Linked DNA regions of Danio rerio. The protein of the gene in region 1 purifies or fractionates together with the protein of each later gene. This does not show direct contact. Links are inferred from orthologs where the notes say so. Each region holds a gene or a part of one and is shown in the gene's direction. Other genes may lie near its edges.

Region 1 (3,836 bases):
AATTAAAATATGTCAGAATTATCATCACTATCAATTTTCTAAGACTGTATTCACAATACCTTTCCAAATATAGCCCAAAAATGTATTAAACAGAGGTGTATAACATGTCTAACTTGTCTACAGTGATGGGGTTGAAAAACAACCTTTAGCCGTTGTGGGCTCCCCCTACTGGATGGCTCCAGAAATGTTAAGAGGAGAGCTGTACAATGAGAAGGTATTCTGCCTTTAAAAACTCAGCATTACACTCTTGCTTGTGTGCTTGTGTCACTTTATTTACGCTGTTTTCATATCATAGGTGGATGTCTTTGCATATGGAATAATCCTTTGTGAGATTATTGCTCGAATTGAGGCTGACCCAGATATCCTCCCACGGACAGAGGTACATACAACTGTACAGCAGAACATGAAGCACAGAATCAGGCTTAGAATCAAGCAGTGCTTTACCAAATATACAAGCTTTGAGTCAGGCAAATAAGATTTTCTTTGAAATATTATTTTAAAGCTAAATTTAATCAAGGGCAAGTCTTAGACCAGGGGAATCAAACACATGGCTTGCAGGCTGTAAATGCATAGGATAACATGTGAAGCTCCTGAGTACAGATTTTGCAGTATGTGACATTGTGATGTGTAATTAAATTTTGAGAGGTTTATGTCAGTGTACAGTACCATAGGTTATACAGCTGCATAACTAATGTGTTTACTTGATGCAGAAAGTCTGTTGTTTATAGTCTAAAATTGCATTAAATGAAACAAAACTAGTCATAAGTATACTTACAATATACACCCACCAGCCACTTTATTAAGTACACTTTACTAGTAGAGGGTTGGACCTCCTTTTGCCTTCAGAACTGCCCTAATCCTTTGTGGCATGGATTTAACAAGGGGCTGGAAATATTCCTCAGAGATTTTGCTCCATATTGACATGACAGCATCAAGCAGTTGCTGCATATTGGCTGCACATCCATGATGCGAATGTCAGCAACAATACTCAGGTAAGCTGTGGCATTGACATAATGCTCAATTGGTACTAATGGACCCAAAGTGTGCCAAGAAAATATCCCCACACCATTACACCAACACCACCAACCTGAACCATTGATACAATTAAGGAGGGATCCATATTTTTTTGTTGACGCCAAATTCTAACCCTACCATCCAAATGTCTGAGCAGAAATTGTGACTCATTGGACCAGGCAATGTTTGTCCAAACTTCTATTGTCCAATTTTGTTGAGCCTGTGTGAATTGTAGCCTCAGTTTCCTGTTCTTAGCAGACAGGAGTGGCACTCGGTGTGGTCTTCTGCTGTTGTAGCCCATCCACCTCAAGGTTGGACGTGTTGTACATTCGGAGATGGTCTCCTGAATATCTCAGTTGAAATGAGTGGTTATTTGAGTTACTGTTGCCTTTCTATCAGCTTGAACCAGTCTGGCCATTATGTCTTGTTAGATATTTTCTCTTTTTCGCATCATTCTCTTTAAACCCTAAAGATGGTTGTGCGTGAAAATTCCAGTAGATCAGCAGTTTCTTAAATACTTAGATCAGCTCATCTGGCACCAACAACCATACCACATTCAAAGTTACTTAAATCACCTTTATTCCCCATTCTGATGCTCGGTTTAACCTCCAGCAGATCATCTTGAACATGTCTACATGCCTAAATGCATTGAGGTCCTGCCATGTAATTGGCTGATTAGAACTTTACAGTTGGACAGGTGTACCTAATAAAGTGACCAGTGAGTGTGTATATGTATGTGTGTGTGTGTGTGTGTGTGTGTGTGTGTGTGTGTGTGTGTGTGTGTGTGTATATATATATATATATATATATATATATATATATATATATATATATATATATATATATATATATAACCTGAATTCTTAATGATTAATAATAATAATAATTCTTAATAAAAAGGTTTCCATTGGTGTATGGATTGTTCATTGTATGGTTCTTCATGAAACATGACTGTACTAATCACATTTGACAAAAAGAAAAATTAATAATTTTGACCTAGATGTATTTTGATTTTATATGTATTCAATGTATTTTGAATGATTGACAAAAATATACTTGTGCAATTTAAGTCGATATTTGTGCTCCAGGGTATTATGGTATTATTTACATTATACTTGTGCTTATATTAACCAAGTAATGCAGTGATGAATCTACATCTAAATAAAATAATCTTCTGCAGTTTTAATGTGTTGTCTCCCTCTGGTGGAGAAGCAGCATGTTGCATATTTCCACAAAAATACACTGTTATTGTTTCTTTTAAGCAAAAAATGTACAAACCAATTGTATATTAATAATATTATATAATTATCCAACATCGTTTGTGCTGTTTCTGCAATGGTGCAAGTCTGAAGATGTCTGTCCAGTGTAGTGCATACTGTAAGAAATATGACTTTTCTTATTGTAGGATTTTGGACTGGATGTGGACACATTTGAGCATATGGTGGGAGACTGTCCACCTTCATTTCTTCAAATGGCTGTCGACTGCTGCAATGTAAGCTATATATCCATAGACAATTAAACTAACATTTCACATTCCCAGAGTTAAGTACTGAAGTTATTTTATATTTGCATTTTCATATTTGTTATTATGTTTCTGTGATAGATGAATGCAGACAGTCGTCCTGCCTTCTCTGAAATTGTAGTGATGCTCGAGAGGATAGAAAGAGAACGAGTGAAGAGTGAAATTCCAGTCATCCTGGGTGAGTACAAGTAAAATTCTATCATGGTTGACAGTAATATTGGAGTGGAATGAGTTCGTATTTATAACTATCATTTTCAGTCAGACATAAATATTCGAACATTTGTGATACTTTCGGGTTTTTGGGTTGCACTGTTTTACAGTTTTGCGGGTAAGCACTATGTACTTACCATATCATTACATAAAATGGGAAATAACTAGTTACTATCACTAAACATAACCCTGAACATAACTCTAATCAATGCAGTTAGGTTATATGACCCAATGATTTCTAAGTGACTACATTATAATTACACATTAAGAACATTTAAGCCTGGTTTATACTCCAAGTGTCTGCTAGTTTGCTTGAGTGCGTGCTGCAAATGTGATGTCATCGCTGTGTTTGCAGAGGTTCGATTTGAGGATGCGCGACATGATTTCCACTGGCGGAGCTCACAAATTTTTTTGAGACTTGAGCAAGCAGTTCGTGCGGTGCTGTGTTTGATTTGAGTTGAATATTTTATCTGAAACCGTACGACTGTACAGACATCTTTATGATGTGGTCCATGCAGAATCATAGGGATAACCAGATGATCAATAATTCTTGGCTAGAAATTGCAACAGTCGTTGAAAAGGAAGATGGCTTTTGTAAAAGTTCGGAAAAACCTGAGGGATAAGTTTAAGTCAAGCGAGGCCATGGCAAAAGTAGAGACCCAGGTGGTTTTAATAAACAATTACAGAAATATGTTTTTCCACCATTTTTTTTACATTGATGCAGCTATATATTACAATTTTACATTTAAAACAATTTATTAATTACAAAAATATAATTAAGGAACAAATTGTTTATTTTATAACTGGAAAGGAATATTTGAACCTATCCATTTACAATACGCTGAAGCCCTGTTTTTCTAGGCTTTATTGGAGATAATGGTCAGAAATGTTGGACCATTATTGCCTTTTTGCATAAGTAGAGGACAAAAACTAGCCAGACAGTAATGTGTCAATTGTGGAGTGGGCTAAATCTAAAAAAGTCTGTATTTTTTAGTAAGTGTACCTATTTTGCTTTTATTCTTGCCATAATAAAAGATATATTTGTATATTTGTTCTCGTCATTAATATTTAAATAAACTTTAATAGGTAA
Region 2 (3,622 bases), on another chromosome or scaffold:
CTGACCGGACACAAACACTGCGTGAGGTGGAATGTGCGTGATGTACGCCGTAATTTTCAGTACTTAGATAACAAATTAATTGTTTTACACCATTATATATACTTATATATTATTTATTATATATACTTATATTTTTATTTAAGTGCAACACATTGCAAAAGATCAGGGGCTTTTGACAATACATCAGGGGCTTAAGCCCCCAAAGCCCCCCCCTCGCAATGCCACTGCTTCCGTATTGGCTTCCTGAGGGAGAGCGGGAGGTTGCCGCTTGGTTTGAAGTAGCCTCAAAGAACCATAGCTGCGTCCCAAATGGCACACTATACACTATGCACTCATGCACTATGTACTTATGCACTTACACACTCAACAGGATAGTATATGTATGTAGTGCTGTCCCAAATGGCACACTAATGTTTTTTACTAAGCGGAAATTCAAACCGTTTCCCTGATGACGTTTGACTGTTGCAAATCAGTGAAATAAACGACTGAATTATCAAGTAATACCTGCCGTGAGTATTGCCGCATTTACCATCCGGAGGCGCTATAATCACTCTCGTAGGAGAATTTTGCTTTCACTATCCAAAATAAATAAAGTTATTCAACACGTGCGTCCGATCGCTCCGCCCCTTCCGCTACGTAAGCAAACCTGCGGTCGTTTAGTGCGTGAAGTGTCCATCATTACACACTTCATTTTAGCGGCTGAATGAGTGCATCATCCGGGTAATTAAAGTGCACTTATTATTTTGAGAGTTTTCAATGTGAACACACTACTTACACTATTTATACTACAAAATGGCGTAAAATAGTGCATAAGTATGCGATTTGGGACGCAGCTCATGTGCTCCATAAAAACACTAACTTCTCTCCTCTTCTTCTTCTCAAACTTTATACCCTCTATGTATCTCACCCGCGCCATCTAGTGCCCTGTAGTATCCCTTAGAAAAGTATTTTCCTTTCATTACAAGTGACAGACATTTCATTCTGTTACAAGAGACCACAATAATAATAATGAGCATAACAACAGTTTATCCAATATGTTATGTTTAGATTAAAATAATAAATTATATTTAGATCAAGAATCATTTAATGGCATATTAAAAGACAGTGTTTCTAGAGAAATAGAATATTAAATGAGAAAACAGTGGGCGTGGCTTGTTTTTTCTACTGTGAGCTGATTGGATGTATTAAGGTAGGCGTTTCATTCAGAAAGATGGGTAAAAGGGCGTGGGGAGAGTTATTACAACCTAACAGACTCCTCCTGCTCATCATTACTGTTTGATATCAAAACTGACAACTGGAGGGGCGTGGTTAAGTATGATAGCCACGCCCAATTCCTTGGACAGACCTAATCTGAGAATTGAACTGAAAACATACAGGAAGTGCATTTGCAGATTTCAATTAAAGATTACAAGAGCAAACTACTGTTCTTAATGACATGCACAGATGAATTGTTCAGCACTAAACTAGCGATGAGAGCTAACAACATCACTGTGGCTAGCTTTGATTTCATGTGTACTTTAAAATAAATAGATAAACGCATTGAAAAAGAAATTGCAGAGTAAAACTGATAGAAGGATTGGAAGTAAGGTTGTATAAATGATACCTCATTGCATGTTATCATTGTCTTTTCTTCTCCAGAGTCTCTGAAATGGCAGAAGGTGAAGGCTAAAGGTGATCTCCCACCCGGAGTCGCAGCTCATTCATCTGTAACATTCAACAAAAACATCTTCATCTTTGGAGGAATGACGGCAGACGGAGCCACAAACTCCATGTTTAAGTTTCAATGCGGTACGATAGCATCACAATATGACCAGCTTTTCTTTAAAGGGGATTTATTATGCCCCTTTTGTAAAATAAGATGCCAAATAATGTCTCTAAAGTGTGTGTAGAGAAGTTTGAGCTCAAAATATTACACAGATGATGTTCTCCAGCTCTCTGAAACTGACCCTTTCAGGCTTCGATACTAATCGTGGTGTTTTGGTGACTGTCGCTTTAAATGCAAATGAGATTCTGCTCTTTTCAGAAGAGAGTGGAGCTACAGATGCATATGCATGAGCATAGTGACAGATGTAAACAGCAGTGTGTGTGTTATGTGTGCTTCAGTGTGAGTGTGTGCTTGATGCTTCTGTCAGTCTATGTGGCTCCTCTATCTAAAACTCCACATCTATAATCCTCTTAGTCTATGCTGACATTATCTTCAGCAGCTCAAACACTCTAATGGCTAATGGACAGACGGCTGCTTCTCACTCAGGGCTGCTGGAGATGCTAATGAGATGGAGAGATGGGCACTAGTGGGCGGGGCTTTCCCCCTCTGATGACACGTACAAAGGGAGAATGTCAATCACAGTGTTTCACTCATCAAGTCTGATTAGAACAAACTCAATTAATTACTGTTGAGCATTAGATGCTGCTGGAGATATTCACACACAACTGTGTTTAAACCCCTCATTAAGTGAATTTTGCATAATAGGTGCCCTTTTAAATGTATGGAGTCTTAAAAAAAGGTCTTAAAAGGTATTATTATTTACTAATCAACAGCCTATCATCAATTTTCCCTCATGTTCTGCTTGTTGTTTCTTCCTCAGATAAACAGCGCTGGACTCTGCTGAAGTTTGAGGGGGATCTTCCTCCGGGTCGGCTGGATCACTCCATGTGTTTACTGCCGTGGAGAGTAAAGATGGAGGACAGCGAACATGCAGACGTTCAGCATCTGTGCTTTGTCTTTGGAGGAATGGACACTCAGGGCGTCATATTCAACGACTGCCTTGTTACTGTGCTGACGTGACCAGTGTGCTTTAATATTCAATAAATAAATCCTCAAACCGCTTCATTTCATGTCCACAGGCCTCCCGCTCTAAACTAGATGTCAGATTCCCTCATTTTCCCTGATGACTATAAAGCTGAATTTCCAGAAGTGGATCCCAAATCGCATACTTATTACCCATTTTGTAGTATAAGCAGTGCATTTACATATTTAGTGCACTTTAAATACACAGATGTTGCACTTTTTTAACCTTTGAATATACACTCACCGGCCGTTTTATTAGGTACACCTGTCCAACTGCTCGTTAAGAATCTAATCAGCCAATCACATGGCAGCAGGACAAGAAGATATGCTGCAGTTCAGAGCGAGCATCAGAATGGGGAAGAAAGGGGATTTAGGAGACTTTGAACGTGGCATGGTTGTTGCTGCCAGACGGGCTGCTCTGAGTATTTCAGAAACTGCTGATCTACTGGGAGTTTCACGCACAACCATCTCTAGGGTTTAAAGAGAATGCTCCGACAAAGAGGAAATATCCAGTGAGCGGCAGTTCTGTGGGCGCAAATGCCTTGTTGATGAGGCCAAAGGTCAGAGGAGAATGGCCAGACTGGTTCCAGCTGATAGAAAGGCAACAGTAACTCAAATAAGCACTCGTTACAACCGAGCTCTGCAGAAGAGCATCTCTGAACACACAACACGTCCAACCTTGAGGCGGATGGGCTACAGCAGCAGAAGAGCACACCGGGTGCCGCTCCTGTCAGCTAAGAACAGGAAACTGAGGCTACAATTCACACAGACTCACCAAAACTGGACAATAGAAGATTGGAGAAACGTTGCTGCTCTGATGAGTCTCCATTTCTG

The links.
Region 2: the proteins of tesk1a (region 1) and rabepk purify together in Homo sapiens (affinity purification with mass spectrometry; 3 studies listed by BioGRID and IntAct, with this or other methods). This does not show direct contact. The link is inferred for Danio rerio from reciprocal best matches to the Homo sapiens genes TESK1 and RABEPK.

What each region holds. Positions count from the first base shown.
Region 1 is NC_133176.1:43,314,293-43,318,128, reverse strand, and holds part of tesk1a (dual specificity testis-specific protein kinase 2), read left to right. Parts: intron 1-123; coding exon 124-214; intron 215-295; coding exon 296-379; intron 380-2,419; coding exon 2,420-2,506; intron 2,507-2,617; coding exon 2,618-2,714; intron 2,715-3,836. UniProt on the Homo sapiens protein: Dual specificity protein kinase activity catalyzing autophosphorylation and phosphorylation of exogenous substrates on both serine/threonine and tyrosine residues.
Region 2 is NC_133180.1:2,011,496-2,015,117, reverse strand, and holds the end of rabepk (rab9 effector protein with kelch motifs), read left to right. Parts: intron 1-1,638; coding exon 1,639-1,788; intron 1,789-2,585; coding exon 2,586-2,785; 3' UTR 2,786-2,830; downstream 2,831-3,622. UniProt on the Homo sapiens protein: Rab9 effector required for endosome to trans-Golgi network (TGN) transport.